Linked DNA regions of Mus musculus. The protein of the gene in region 1 interacts with the protein of each later gene in a pairwise test. Links are inferred from orthologs where the notes say so. Each region holds a gene or a part of one and is shown in the gene's direction. Other genes may lie near its edges. The genes, in order: Cd63 and Timp1.

Evidence for each region.
Region 2: the proteins of Cd63 (region 1) and Timp1 interact in binary tests that used the Homo sapiens proteins (3 or more experiments, as listed by UniProt). The link is inferred for Mus musculus from reciprocal best matches to the Homo sapiens genes CD63 and TIMP1.

Annotation. Positions count from the first base shown.
Region 1 is NC_000076.6:128,906,640-128,914,528, forward strand, and holds Cd63 (CD63 antigen), read left to right. Parts: upstream 1-3,226; 5' UTR 3,227-3,319; intron 3,320-3,755; 5' UTR 3,756-3,766; coding exon 3,767-3,832; intron 3,833-4,812; coding exon 4,813-5,001; intron 5,002-5,155; coding exon 5,156-5,230; intron 5,231-5,328; coding exon 5,329-5,424; intron 5,425-5,521; coding exon 5,522-5,662; intron 5,663-5,798; coding exon 5,799-5,882; intron 5,883-6,035; coding exon 6,036-6,101; 3' UTR 6,102-6,183; downstream 6,184-7,889. Other genes in the region: Rdh5 (retinol dehydrogenase 5), read right to left, coding at 7,074-7,303, 7,496-7,659. UniProt on the Homo sapiens protein: Functions as a cell surface receptor for TIMP1 and plays a role in the activation of cellular signaling cascades. Plays a role in the activation of ITGB1 and integrin signaling, leading to the activation of AKT, FAK/PTK2 and MAP kinases.
Region 2 is NC_000086.7:20,866,799-20,874,569, forward strand, and holds the start of Timp1 (metalloproteinase inhibitor 1 isoform a precursor), read left to right. Parts: upstream 1-3,367; 5' UTR 3,368-3,526; intron 3,527-4,232; exon of another isoform or gene 4,233-4,235; 5' UTR 4,236-4,240; coding exon 4,241-4,364; intron 4,365-5,978; coding exon 5,979-6,058; intron 6,059-6,251; coding exon 6,252-6,378; intron 6,379-6,569; coding exon 6,570-6,694; intron 6,695-7,672; coding exon 7,673-7,771. UniProt on the Homo sapiens protein: Metalloproteinase inhibitor that functions by forming one to one complexes with target metalloproteinases, such as collagenases, and irreversibly inactivates them by binding to their catalytic zinc cofactor.

The DNA of each region.
Region 1 (7,889 bases):
TGGAATATTTATTTATTATTTGCTTATGTATTTAAATTACTTTTATTCTTTTACAATCCTCCCATTCCCTTCCTGTTCTCACCCCCACAGTTGCTCATCCCGTTCCTCCTCCCATCTCCAAAAGGATGTCCCCACCACCACCATAATTTTATTTTTTGCTTATTCACTTTACATCCTGCTCGCTGGTCACCCCTGTCCACATAGTCCTTGCCCTTCCCCCTCCCCTTCTCCTCTGAGTGGTGGAGGCCCCCCCACCATATCCTGCCACCCACACACCTGATTTTTTTTTTTTTTTTTTATGTGGGTGCTTGGATCAGAACTCAGGTCCTTATGTTTGTGCAAGTGCTCTTACCTACTGAGTGATCTTTCCAACCCTTAGGATACATAATTTTAAGAATATATGCGTGTATATGTGCGTGTATATTTTGCCTGCATGTATATATGTGTAATATATATATATATATATATATATATATATATATATATATGTGTGTGTGTGTCTGATATATGCCCAAGAAGGCAAGAAAATGGCATCATATCCACTGGAATTGGAGTTACAGAGGTCATAGGCCACCATGTGTATGCTGGGAATTGAAGTCAGGCACTCTGTAAGAGCAAGTGCTCTAAACAACTGAGCCATCTATCTCCCCAGCCCTTTCTCCTCCTCTTCCCCCTCTTCCTCCTTCCCCTCTTCCTCCTCCTTTTCTTTTTCTTCCTCCTCCTTTTTCTTTTCTTCCTCTTCCTCTTTCTCCTTTCTCCTCTTCTGCCTCCTCTTCCTCCTCTTTCTTTTCTTTTTCCTCCTCTTCGTTCTCCTTTTCCTCTTCTTCTTCTTCCTCTTTCCCTTCCTCTTCTTCCTCTTTTTTCTTTTTCCTCTTCTTCCTTCTCCTTTTCCTCTTCTTCTTCCTCCTCTTTCTCTTCTTCCTCCTCCTCTTCCTCCTCTTTCATTTCTTTTTCCTCCTCTTCCTTCTCCTTTTCCTTTTCTTCTTCCTTTTCTTTCTCTTCCTCTTCCTCCTCCTCCTTTTTGAGACAGGGTCCCAGCATATGGCCCAAGCTGGCCTGTAAGTCATGATTGCTCTACTTCAGCCTGAGTATGGAAATAATAAACATGTGCTATCACGCCAAGGTTCTTCATTTATCTGGTACTGATTTATTATTCGATTATTTACTCATATTTGGAGACAAGGACTAATTCCTTAGACTGGCCTCAAACTCCTTAGGTAGCCAAGGATGATCTTGAATTCATGAGACTTATGCCTCTACCTCATGAGTTCTGGAATAATAAGCACATACCACAACCATGCCTGGTTCATGAGGTGCTAAGAATACAAGCCCAGGCTGTCTGCATATTAAGCAAGCACTTTACCAACTGAACTACGTCCTCAGCTCAGGTTTATTCTTGTTTTTTTTGAGATGGGGTCTCGAGTCGTAGCTCATTCTGGCCTTGAACTTTGAATGACCAAGGGATCCTCCCGTTTCAGTCTCCCAAATGCTATACTTATAGGTGTATACCACTGATTTTGTTTTGGTTGGATTGAGACAAGGTGTTGTTGTGTAGCCCAGGATGGCCTGTAACCTTCAGCCATCCTGCCTTCACCTCCATAGTGCTGGGAAGGACAGGCCTCACCATCATGCCTAGACTTCTTTGTAGCCTGGGAACTGAGCCTGAGTTCGTGACACATGCTCTACCATAGATCTGCATGCATTTCCATTCGCCATTTTGAACTATAGTCTCACTAGCACTGGGTATACAGCTTAGCTGGTAGAGTGCTTGCCTAGTAGGCACAAAATCCTGGGTCTGGTGCCAGAACTGCATAAACTAGATGCACTTGTGCACACCGGTGGTGCCAGCACTTGTGGAGGCAAAATGACCTGCAGTTCAGGGTTATCCTCAGCTACATATGGAATTCCAGGCCAGCCTGGGCTACATGAGACCCTGATTCCAAAGAGATAGGTGTGTGTGTGTGTGGTGTCTCACTAAACTGTCCAGAGTGGCTTTGAATTTTTGATTTTCTTGTGCCAGGTGTGGTGTCATGGACTTTTAGTGTCTGGAGGCTGAGGCAGGCAGATCTCTGAGTTTGAGGCCAGCCTGGTCTACAGATAGAGTTCCAGGGCAGCCGGGTCTACACAGAGAAACCCTATCGAGAGAGAGAGAGAGAGAGAGAGAGAGAGAGAGAGAGAGAGAGAGAGAGAATATGAAAGTGCTGGGATTACATATGTGTGCCACCAGCTGGCCTTTGTTTTAATTGTTTCTTTATATACAGTCCCTTCCCTTCAGATTCAGTAAGCAACTCAAGGCAGAAGGAGCTGCGGAGAAAAGGACAAAGTTCAGGTTAGGAGTGTAAGGCCGGTCGGTCCTATCTGAGCTTTTTACAACAGTTCCTTCTGTGAACCACCAGCGGCACACGGGAGAAAGGTATTTCTAACTCTCGCCTTTACCTGGTTTTGCCATCTCTGATGAAAAGAGGAATAAGATACGGAAGTCCATGCTATTGCCTCGCCGGCCTTAGTGTCCTTTCTCACATCTCCATTAACCACTGGCTAATCCAGGAGCAAGGGAGCTCTAAGGCTTTGTTAATCTTTTCCCAGGAGGGCCCAGGCTCTGACGTGTTATGATTGACGCATGGAAACGGGGTTCTAGACAAGGGCTTCCTCAAAGGGTTTTCTCAGCTCAGGAGTTCTAGAAAATGGAGAAGCTGGGGCCATAAAACCCTAGTCCAGAATGTTGGGAGACTTCTAGGATGGGAAGCTAGGGGCTTTCTGGAAGTGTTTATTCTGACTTCACCCAGTGCCACTCAACCCACACCTTCTGCGGGTGGCTCGGGAATGGGGCGGGGGGCAGGGCCTTGAACAAGGACGGAGAGGGAGCTGCGTGGTGGGTACTCGGTGGGTTGAGGTCTGCAGATGACCGTTTTGATACTTTGGCTCAGTTCTGTCTTTGGGCAACTCTGAGCCGCCGTGCGTCCTCTGGACTCTGACTCGCCTACTCCTGAACCAGAGAGAACCAGACGGCGCCTGGGTTGCAGAGGGCTCCGGGAACCCTGAGGTCCGGCTCCTGGCTCGAGCCTTCCAGGCAGCGGCCACGTGGCCTTGTCCTGGCGGGGGGCTCACCTCCCCCTGCTAGCCTGGTGACTCAGGCCGCAGCTGTTCCCGTGTCACATGAGAGAGAGAGGGAGGGAGGGAAGAAGGCGGCCACCCTGCGGGGGAGGGGGGCGGCCGGAGCCGGGGCGGGGCCGTGCAGCAGGCGGGGCGCGGGCAGGGGGCACGGGAGACGGCGGCTGAGCCGCGGCAGGAGAGTACTGAGAAGCGTCGGGGAGCGCAGGTGAGCCGGGCCCGGGGACCCGGGGGACGTCCGTGGGGGCAACTTTGCCTCGAAGTTCGCGGGGCGCCATCCGCGCCGCACCCGAGGGGAGGCTCGCGCCCAGGGGCTGGCGAGGGTCTCGGGTCGCGGCCTGTCGGGATCGGGGATCGGGAATCGGCGCTGTGCAGCGGCGGGCGGAGATCTACCTGGAGTCCGGCCGCGCCCTCCGTGCGTCCCGGGATCCCGAGATCCCGAGGCCCCGCTGCGTGGCGCGCCCCAGTCCGGCCGGCGAGCGGGGAGGGCTGGGAGACGTGGGTCTGACCGCGGGTTTCTGGGTGGGAGGGCAGCGATGGGGGCCGCGCAGGGAAGGCTGCGAAGGCCGGCGGGGAGCTGCGGATGTGGCGGCCCCTCGGCCTGCTCTACCTGCTCTAATCCTTGGTGTTCTCCGCGGCCCCAGGCCCAACAGCCATGGCGGTGGAAGGAGGAATGAAGTGTGTCAAGTTTTTGCTCTACGTTCTCCTGCTGGCCTTCTGCGTGAGTAGTGCGGGGAGAGCGACGGGGCGCCCGGGCGGGGTGCGGGGGGGGGAGTCTTGGAGCGGGAGCCGTGAAGGGTGAGGGACCCAGAGATGAAGGCAGCTGGAGGCCAGATGTGGAAGGAAAGCCCAGGGAAAAGGGCCAAAGGCAGAACGTGTCCGCGCTACCTCCCTTCCCCATCCCCCACGCGCAGCTTTCCGGGACCTCTGAGTAAAGTTTGGACCGAGAATTGCCATCCTAGACGGGGAGCACCCCCAACCAACCCCCTCCTGGCCCTTCCTGTCTGGTGACCCAACCATTCGTGGTACGGGGTGGTGGGGCAACCTGCCAACGGTCTGATGGTATCGCCAAGGGGCTGTCTCCACTCCTCACACCGTTGATTCCTCTCCATTCTCTTAGCCCTCTCATTTACTTGGGGGTAGGAAAGGCTCTGCCCTCCTTCATTTGCTCCTCCCTGTGTGTTCTGAAAGGGGCCACTCTTTTTTTGTTTGTTTGTTTTTCGAGACAGGGTTTCTCTGTATAGCCCTGGCTGTCCTGGACCTCATTTTGTAGACCAGGCTGACCTCGAACTCAGAAATCCGCCTGCCTCTGCCTCCCGAGTGCTGGGATTAAAGGCGTGCGCCACCACGCCCGGCCCGAAAGGGGCCACTCTTACCCCCTCCTCCGCCCTAGCCTAGCTGGCCCTAGGACCTGAGTCACTGGAGTGAGGGGGTAGTTCTGGGAGAGACTCTAGCTGGGAGTCCATAGAAAGTAACCCATATCCTGTGCCGAAGCGCTGTTTAAAGGCAGCATGACACCTCCCGATTCCCTTCTCCTTGTGTGCCTTAAACAACTTCCCAGCCTTCATTGTGGGGCAAGGATGGGCAGACCTTGTCTACAGCCAGTGTTTCCTGGAGGTGTAGGATCTATCTTCTGGGTGGGGGTCGGGTGCGAGGGCTACTGGACTGAGGATCTGACCTAACTCTCGCCTTTTTCCTCAGGCCTGTGCAGTGGGATTGATCGCCATTGGTGTAGCGGTTCAGGTTGTCTTGAAGCAGGCCATTACCCATGAGACTACTGCTGGCTCGCTGTTGCCTGTGGTCATCATTGCAGTGGGTGCCTTCCTCTTCCTGGTGGCCTTTGTGGGCTGCTGTGGGGCCTGCAAGGAGAACTACTGTCTCATGATTACAGTGAGTGGGGTGTGGGAGCTCTTGGGGGCTACCGGAAGCCTTTTCTGTGGTGAAGGTGGGTGGATGGAGAACACCAGGAAAGTCTCAGTAATTGACCGGGTCAGAGCAAGCCCTTTAAATCCAGACTTCAAACCCAACTCCTGTCCTCCCACAGTTTGCCATCTTCCTGTCTCTTATCATGCTTGTGGAGGTGGCTGTGGCCATTGCTGGCTATGTGTTTAGAGACCAGGTAAGCAGGGAATGGGGGGGGGGGGACCCATCTCAGGTTGCTCTGGGAATCTGGGGCCGGAAGTCTGTTCTCTACAGCACCCACTTCTCTGCTCTTAGGTGAAGTCAGAGTTTAATAAAAGCTTCCAGCAGCAGATGCAGAATTACCTTAAAGACAACAAAACAGCCACTATTTTGGACAAATTGCAGAAAGAAGTGAGTGGGATGGCCGGGAGGAGGGTTAGCCGGGATAGAAGATTCTCAACTCTGAATTAAAGTGGAGGTTTCCCTCCCATCCCTCTTCCCTTCCTAGAATAACTGCTGTGGAGCTTCTAACTACACAGACTGGGAAAACATCCCCGGCATGGCCAAGGACAGAGTCCCCGATTCTTGCTGCATCAACATAACTGTGGGCTGTGGGAATGATTTCAAGGAATCCACTATCCATACCCAGGTAGGGAGAAGGAGACAGGAGATGCTTACGGGATCAGAGTTGGGGGATGAGATCTGGGGATAGGGGTTGGGAGAAAGGGACAGGAGGAGGGAGGTAGAAGTTTCTGTTGGTATTCATGCCTGCCCCTTCCCTTCAGGGCTGCGTGGAGACTATAGCAATATGGCTAAGGAAGAACATACTGCTGGTGGCTGCAGCGGCCCTGGGCATTGCTTTTGTGGAGGTGAAGAATGCTGTGGGCTGGGGGGGGGGGGTCTGAATCAGCCCAGGGCATCTGGGGAGCAGGAGGCACCGGCCTGGGAACAGTGGCTGTTGGATGGGTTTGGGGAAGCTTGCCCTGCCTCCTCTCCACCCTCATTTCCATCTTTCCTTTCAGGTCTTGGGAATTATCTTCTCCTGCTGTCTGGTGAAGAGTATTCGAAGTGGCTATGAAGTAATGTAGGGGTGGGGGGCGTTTGGTCTTTTCATGGAGTGGATTCTCCAGGTTTTTCAATTAAACGGATTATTTTTTCAGACCTAAAAAAGGAGATGGTCTCAGTTTATCTTAGAGTGATGGATGGCCCCTTCCTTTTCCTTCTCCCTGTCGCTGCCCTGAAATTAGGCAGGCATATTTAGGGGCATTTGGGGAAAGGTGTATTTTCTTGAGGGTGTTGGTTGGGCTGGCAGTGGAAGAGGTGGGGAATCCAGAGGAGGTTGTAGCTGAGTGCTCTCCTCTGCCCCTGGCTTTGTGCTGCCTGCTTAGCCTTCAAACAGTGTTGCCGCAGCATCCTTGAGGCCATCTCCTGCATAAGTCAAAGGGAGTTTCCATAGAGGTCCTACGCAGTAGAGCCTGGACATGTCTATTTTGGACAACTTTTTGGCTTTCTGATGCTTTGAGGGCCAGCAAACTCCTCCCTCAACCCTCAAGAAGAATGTTTAAGAATTTTGCCGCCTGTGTGGCAGTGTCCCTGAGTTTATTTCCTTCTTTCACGGAAGCCACCCAATCTGGCTATGATCACTTTTCATCACTTTCCCTTCTATCCCCAGGAAAACTAGACAATGGTGTGCCAGGCGCCAACTAGGAATTCTCATTTCTCTGCTGAGAAAAGCGCCCTCTGGTGGCCATCTCTCCAAGTGCTGCACCAAAAAGCATCTGTAGGTGCAAGGTAGCTCCTTACACCACCCAGTGTACAATAGAAGTTTCGCAGGCACTAAAGAGGCAAGAGAGTTTGCTCCCTGGGCAGCTTAGGGATTTTAGATACTTAAATCTTGTCAGGCTCCCACAGGTACCTTCATTTCTGTACACCTGCTTTTTGATTTAAAGCAATACATATTTATTGAGAGCCTAATTGGTATCAGAAACCAGGCAGCACTGGGTAGACACAGAAATAGATGCCTTGCTTTTCAAAATCAGCCTCTTGCTGTAAAGCTGGAATCAGGAGACTGACTGGGCGGGCCGGGGAAGGATCCAGGTGAGCACAGCATCCACCACCCTGGCTGGAAGGTAGGAGGCAGGCAGCCAGAGCAGCTTGGCATCCCAGCCTGGGCTGTAGCGTGTTCGGGGGTGGCGAGCAGTCAGGGCATGCTCCAGGCAGCTGGTCACCTTCGTTAGTTCTGGGTCACAGATCAGGTTCATGATGCGGCGCTGTACTCGAAGATCTGTAGCTTGGAAGATGCTGTAGTTAGCGTGCATGCTCTCACTGCCGCTCCTCCATCCCGTGCTAGATCCTTGGGCTGGTTGCCAGGTTCAGGAAGTGACAATATCCCCTCTGCCTGCCCTTTTCTTCCCTATGAGGCCTGACCTTTCTGGCCCTCTCTTTTTCCCACCATGCTCCCAATATGGGCCCAGCTACTCACAAGTATCGAGGAAGGCTTCCCCGTAGTGGGCCTGTATAGCTGGAGGTAGCCGGGCCCAACAAGCCTTCAGGGTGCTCTCCAGACTCTCCAGGTTGGTCACAGGGGTTCGAAAGAAGCCAGGCTCCACAATGGAGACTTGTACTCCGAACGGAGCCATGTCCCGCCTGGAGGGTGGGCAGAGAGGTTCCTGTGTTTTAACTCAGGTTTCCAGGAGTGTGGAATCTAAGATGGAAAGGTGTCACAGGTAGGGACATGTGTCCGACAGGAAAGGCTATTGCTGGTTGGCCTTGGATGGGAACACAGGAGTTTTTTGTTTTTACTTCCTGGTGGTGAGGATAAAACCCAGGGCCTGTGTGTGGTAGGTAAGCAACTGAGCTACATCAATATCAGCCCC
Region 2 (7,771 bases), on another chromosome or scaffold:
CGGCGCTCTTAACCACTGAGCCATCTCGCCAGCCCCCCCCCCCATATTCCACACTCTTAAGACTCTTAGAGTTAACACATGAGCTACCTTGCCTTGCTCTCACCTACATAAAAGAAGGACATATAACAGAACTACTTATGCACTATAGAAGCACACACTACTCTCGAGGCAAACAATAAATGGACATATGCAGCAATCACTGGCATGCCCACAGCAAACAGAAGGATTAATACAACATACAGAAGGAGAATGCATTTCTAGGCATTCATATAACCAAATCGCTGTAACTCCGACCTCATCACATTTCTGGGTCCATGAAAAGTATATCTAGACATTCAACATGTTTTTTTTCCATATCTGTAATACAAGCATACAGAAAATCAGACACACAGATAATACATATTCAGGACACATATTCAGGCAAATATGTGTTAGGCAAAGATGTGTTAAGTCTCCCTGTGTCCCAGGCTAGGCAAAGAGTATGAGGACTCTAGCCCCACCATACCCCATGTGCAAATGTAGGGCCCCTGCCTCCTACTGACAGGGTAGAGATAGCATTCTTAGGCTCTGGGTCAGTGGCAGTTCCCAACAGGCACAGGAAGCCCCATAGTCTAAGGGTGACTGATTGACCTTCAGGTCTCTCCCTCCCTCTACAATCTCCTTCCTCATTTCCCAAATGAGTGACATCATAGGAAGGCAGAGAACTGAGTGGTATGATGTTGGTAAGGGTGTCATCCAGGGAGCAGGCCAAGGAAACAATGCCAAGATGTGTGTGTATAGGGAGAAACTTTCTACTTGGGCATCTACTCATCACACAGAGAAGCTTGAGACAGGCATAGTTACATTGGCAACCTTCCACTCTCAGAAGCAACACACTCAGGCACACACCTGGCTCTCAGGAAGGGACATGGAGCATGCCTTGCAAGGGACATAAGCCACCCCTTGCGGCACAGATACATGACAGAGCTGTTCATATACAAGAATATCTATTCCCATCTGCTGAGCATTGTGGATCATTTTCCCAAACTTACTTTGCTTCCTCTGTTCATGAGCTTGAACACTGTGGGTGCATCTAAGTGTGTGCCTGCCATATGTGCATACAGGGGCCTTGGGACTTCCTGGGGAGCTTTAGCCTGCTATCTTGGCCTTTATTCTTCCCAAGGCCATTAAAAAATCCCAGGTAGGTACTGTCTTACTGGGCCTCAGTTTCCAGAGGGAAATAATCAAGCTCTCGCACTTAATACTCTGGGTATCATCAGGTATTTACACATGACAGCAGATCACTATGGGAACCTCACACCTATCCAGTTTAGCAGATAGTCACAGGCTAAACATCCCTCTGTAATGTCCACCCCACTCCATTTCAAACCTGTACAATAATCTGAATCCTTAATGTAAACAGCTGGCAAAACTGTGCTGACTCAGGTTTCATAGTTAAAGAGCTGTCGTCAGAAGCTGGCTCATAGAAGAGGCGAGACAGGACTTTCCCTGTCTTTACGTCTCCTCAGTCCTGCCGCCTAGTTACTCAGCCCCCTGTCTCACTTTCTCCTCACTTTCACAATCAGATGGTTGAAAATTTTGGTCTCCTTCCCTTTCTCCTTTTCTCTGTACCTCCTCCCACCACCACAGTAATTTCTTCACCATCTTTCCTGGACAGGCCATTTGATTCCTTTCTGTCTCTGTTTTCTTACTAAATAGTAAAAATATGAATCATACCTCACAGATATGTTGGGAAGAATAAGTCAATTATTTCAGAGAAAAGAAAATCTTAGTATACACATATAGTAAACCTGAATCTTCAAAGAGTTGGTTACTATTATTGTTGTTATTGATTTAATACCTCTTCATTAAATAACATTAAGGAACAAGGAGGACAATGGCAAACAAACAAACAAAATTTCTGAGCTGGCAATATGGCCCATCAGATAAAGGTGCTTGCTGCCTCCATGCCTGATAACCTGAGTTTGAGCCCTAGAACCCACAGGGAAGGAGAGGATTGGCCCCTGCAAGTTGTCCTTTAAGCAATGCAAGCATGTCATGGCACAAACACACACACACACACACACACACACACACACACACACACACACACACACACACACACACACAGTGTAAAAAAAAACCTTTTAAAACAGTGTATTGTACATAGTACCCTGTTGAGTGCTGGCAGGAGGTTTTTGTGTCCTGTGGTTTCTGAACCAATTTACCTAAGTTAATAAAATTGAATTAGCTAAAGTAAATTTACATAATAACCTTAGTAATGATGTACAGTAAGCATTCAGTAAGTAGCTGTGATCACCACTACCATATTCTCTCTGTCTCTCTCTCTATCTCTGTCACAGGTTCTCACTATGTATCGCTGGCTGTCCTGGAACTCACTGTATAGACTATGTACCCTCTAATTCTCTGGATCAGCTTGCCTGCTGCGATTACAACCATTGTCATTATTATTGGTCTTTCCTCCCTATATTAATTGAAGATGCTAATCAGTCCATAGAACCCTTCCACAGGACCCCAGGGAATACTCCTGCATCATCAGGAAGCTGGTGGGCAGCAGTTGCCTCATCCCATCCCCACAAGGGGTGTGGGCTGGTTGGTGGGGGAAGGGGCAGGGCAGGATGGAGTAGGGATGGTTTTTCTACTGACTCACTAACTTCTTTTACCATCAGTCACCACCACCACCACCACCCATGCTCACCACACCATTCCCTGCTTGTCAAGATTGTGTCCTGCCTGAGTTAGGACTCCAGGGTCAGGAAGCCTAGGTTTAAATCCCTGTTTTGTCCTGTGACACTAACAAAGATCTTTACTTCAGTTATTTGCCTGTTTGGTCTTGTTTCTGTTTAAGACAGGGTCTCTTGTAGCTGATGATATCTTCAAATAGCCTCACCGGTGTGTGCAGCCACAGCAAGGTTTGGGGTACCTAGGCTCTGTCTGCAAGCAGCCTCGGTTCCCTCCCAGTTCTGCCAGACTCAACTGCTATCTTGGATAAGTCATAGACTTATCCAGTGTATCAATTTCCCCACTATGTATTTGTGCCTCTTCTCCCATGTCATGTCCCTCAACTGCTTTTCTAGTTTGTCACCCTCTGACACCCCTCACCAGAATTTCAGATCCACAGGAATGCCTTTCTTGTGAGATTGTTACATAGTAGATGAAAGGCGTGAGAAAGAAGTTATTGGCTTCAGCCACAGGAAGTTTGGGGAATATGGGAAACCTGAGAGGCACAAAGCTTTAGGCGCTCTCTCTTCTGCCCTTCAAGGCCGCCAGGAAGGACTGTGCATGACGTGGAGCTGGGGGAAGGGGGCGCAGTGGGCTGGCTGGCAGAGGAGGGAGTATCTTTGGGTTTATCCTGGGGCCCGCCCCTAGGCTTTGACTCCAGCGGTGGGTGGATGAGTAATGCGTCCAGGAAGCCTGGAGGCAGTGATTTCCCCGCCAACTCCGCCCTTCGCATGGACATTTATTCTCCACTGTGCAGCCCCTGCCGCCATCATCGCAGATCGGGGCTCCTAGAGACACACCAGAGGTAAGTGGGAGCCGGGTGTCCTGGCAGAACTGGGGCTTGCCTGGAGCCTGTGTTGGTGCGGCTCATGCAGCCCTTGCCAGACTAACTGCTCACGTGGCTTGCAGGTATCAGGATCCCTAGTTAGCTAAAGAGGAATATAACGGGAGAGGGCCTGGAATGATCGTCCCAAGCTGGACTCTCCAGACTCCTTCATGCCTTTGCTAAGTGCTCCAAACCCACAAGCCTTTAATACCTTGAAGACTTCCCAACTTGCCTGTCCCTCAATCCTTATGGTTCCTGGTAACTCCCCTGTTCTCTTTGCCATGTCTGGTTCATGGAACTTCAACAGTTCTTCTGCCTACAAATTCCTCAAGCATTACCATTGTCGTAAACCTCCAAATTCCCCAAGACCCTTAACCCCCATTTTCTCCAGCTCCCTAAAACCCCAAACCTGTTCTAACCCCCCAATATCTCTGAAATCCTCAGCCCATTATATTTTAATAGCCCTAATTCCTCATTATATTTCTCCAGTTTCCCAAACTCCAAATTCATCACTACACAAATGTCAGATTTTCCCAATTCTGTTAAATTCTCAACGTTCTCCGCTCCCTTATTCACCAACTGCCACAACTCCATTCTCTAACCTAAAGAGGTCCCAAATCTCCCTAGGACCAATGGCCATGTAAGCCGTTGGTCTGGGAACCTATTAACACCTACTCTTTACCAGCAGATACCATGATGGCCCCCTTTGCATCTCTGGCATCTGGCATCCTCTTGTTGCTATCACTGATAGCTTCCAGTAAGGCCTGTAGCTGTGCCCCACCCCACCCACAGACAGCCTTCTGCAACTCGGACCTGGGTGAGTCTGGCCCCCTTTCTGTCCCTCTTAATCCAATAGGGTTCATTATGGCAGTTGTCTCTAGGACAGTTCTACTTACCCTTCCATACATCTGCTTTTGCCACACTGACATCCTTGGGCCTAAGCCTACCTTTGTGCTGGCTGCTCCCAGTACTATGTACATGCTTTTCTGTAGTTATCTACATGGGTGGCTGCCTTAAAAGTCATCTTACTGAGGTGCTTGCCTACTTTTATTTAATTTTAAATTTAATGCCAGCCACATAGTACTCCTGAACCTTTGTTACATATGCTGTTAATGGCACTTCTTAGGACACAGGCAGGCAGACTTCATTCAGGACCATGACAATTAGAATTTGCCAAGAGATGGGGGTGGTGGGGGGAGATAGATTAACTCTCAACATTACATGGGCAAATGGAACTCAATGGCCAAGGAACAGTTTGGGAGTTGGTGAATGGGAAACCATTGAGAAGAAATATCAAAGGCAAGAGGATTCAGGCTAAATCCATTAAAAAGATTATTTTTATTTATGTGTATGTTTGTGTGTATTCCATGTGTGGTGTGTAGGTGCCTGTGGGTCCTCAAGGCATCAAATCCCCTGGAGCTGGAGTTATGAATGGTTGTGAGCTACCCTATGTGGATTCTGGGAACTAAACTTGGGACCTCAAAGAGCAGCAAGTGCTCTTAACCATTAAGTCATCTCTCTAGCCTATCAGCTTACTTTTTGTTTTTGAGACTAGGTCTCACTATATAACCCAGGCTGGCCTTGAACCCCTGATCCTTCCCACTCAGCCATCCAAGTGCTGAGATTGCAGGTCTGTGCCATCACACCCAGTTTAGGTCTCTTGAAAACTGGCTAGTATAATCATCTGGTGGCCCCATCACATACTGAGGAGAATCAGATAAGGGTGGGTGTTTTCACTAACCTAATTTAGGATACTTCGCTACAAGTGGATTTTAAAGAGAAACTGTACTAATGAGCTTGGAAGAAGGTTAATGAGCCTGAGTAAATTGTGGTCAAGCAAAGCATCTGTCAACCCCTTCCCTATTCTAATTTTCTAACCCACTTAATAGCCTGTAACAATCCACATACCTTTTTTTCTTTTTCCCCTTGGTACCGGGGATTGAACCTAGGATCCAGGCAAATACTGCACAATTGAGCTACAAACCCAACCCTTTTTTTGGTGAATTTTTTATTTTAAACAGGTTCTCACTAAATTGTCTAGACTAGTCTTGAACTCAGAGTAAAGTGATCCTCCATCAGGCTCTGACAGAGCTAGGGTTACAGGCCTGTGCCACCATGCCTGGCTACTTAATGTTAGTCTGTCTCCTCCTGGCTTGAATGTGAGCTCCATAAGGAAATGGATTCCTGTATTTGGGTCACTGTCCCTAACACCCTGAACAGTGGCTGGCACCAGGCACTCCAAAATATTTGTTGAGTAAGCCAATAAATGGATATATGAAAAGGGCTTAAAACAGTGCCTAAAAGAATAGACAATATGTAGATGAATCAACTGATGTGGAAGCCATTTGAATTATGCTGTATATATGCTTTGCTGCTATGGGTTCATGCTGCTTGCCCATTTGATTCCCCATTTCCCCTTCCTTTCCTCTAGTCATAAGGGCTAAATTCATGGGTTCCCCAGAAATCAACGAGACCACCTTATACCAGCGTTATAAGATCAAGATGACTAAGGTATTTTCCCTTCCCTCCCTCCCTCCATGGCTGTACCTAACCTATTCCTTCTCCTCAAAATAGAAGCATCTAACCTTTCGTTGGTGTGGATGTTTTCTGTAAACTTGTGATTTAGATATATTGCCATCAGGAAAGAGAGTGGAGTGGGAGGATTATGTCAGTAAAAGATGTACTTTTTGTCACTCATGGGCAGATGCTAAAAGGATTCAAGGCTGTGGGAAATGCCGCAGATATCCGGTACGCCTACACCCCAGTCATGGAAAGCCTCTGTGGATATGCCCACAAGTCCCAGAACCGCAGTGAAGAGTTTCTCATCACGGGTGAGGCCCCGCCCCTTCACCTTGGGCCACATCCCTAATGCTTTCAGGCAACTGGGAGGAGTTAGGCTCTAAAGGAAAAGGGCCTGGTTGAAATGGGAGTGGGAGGGTCTGTAACCTAATGCTAATTAGGTGACCACTCCGACCCCACCCAGCCAATCCAAAAGCCTATTGGTTTCTTGCTTCTCTTACAGGCCGCCTAAGGAACGGAAATTTGCACATCAGTGCCTGCAGCTTCTTGGTTCCCTGGCGTACTCTGAGCCCTGCTCAGCAAAGAGCTTTCTCAAAGACCTATAGTGCTGGCTGTGGGGTGTGCACAGTAAGTGCCTGGACCCAGTTTTCCTCCAGGAGATAAGTCTTGGAATGGTTTCTTTTTCCCTCTGGCTATTGTATGCAGTTGTAGTTGCTGCCCAAACCCAATCACTATCTTTGATTTCTCTTGCCATTGCTCCACCCCTGGGCCTGTTCTTTTGGAAATTTTGGTTGTTTTGTTATCTCTGGACTGCCTGTTCCCTGAACCTTCGCTGTCTGTCTAACTTTCCTTTGTGACTATTCTGAGACACCACTCTCTGTTTCTGACCTCCCCGATTGGATTTTGCTTCCCCAGGCATAAGCTGCAAGAATTCAAAGGACTATTCTCCAAATCCACAGGGACACACGCCAGCCATCTGACTATTTCAAAACTTTTTCCTGGTGGCACCAAACATCCTCTGACCAGCCCCCTCCCCAGTCATTGTCCAAGAGCCTTGCTGCCTTTCCTTTTAAAAAAAGATTTATTTATTTTATGTATATGAGTACACTGTAGCTGTCTTCAGACACATCAGAAGAGGGCATTGGATCCCATTACAAATGGTTGTGAGCCACCATGTCATTGCTGGGGAACTGAATTCAGGACCTCTGGAAGAGCAGTCAGTGCTCTTAACCACTGAGCCATCTCTCCAGCCCTCCCTGCTGCCTTTTCTTATGCTTGCTCTTCCTGCATGCCAACTGTTCCCCATACTATCACTTCTCTGCCCTGTGGGACGGTTCTTCAGGAGGCCTGTCTGAGTGACTTCAAGTGACAGTTCTCTAACAGCAATTCCAGAACACTGGCTTTCTGTTCCTCAAATGGGAGAAGCTGTTCTTGGGTTTAAGCACAAGTAGGGCAACACAAACCCTTCCTAGCAGCTCCCTGGTGTGTGTGTGTGGGGGGGGGGAGGGCGGGAGAGAGAGAGAGAGACTGAGACTCTATACAAGGGAGAGAACAAACAGAGGGAAAGAGAAATCCTCAGAGATGGGCCTTTTTCCCCTCTTCTAGGTGTTTCCCTGTTTATCTATCCCTTGCAAACTGGAGAGTGACACTCACTGTTTGTGGACGGATCAGGTCCTCGTGGGCTCTGAGGACTACCAGAGCCGT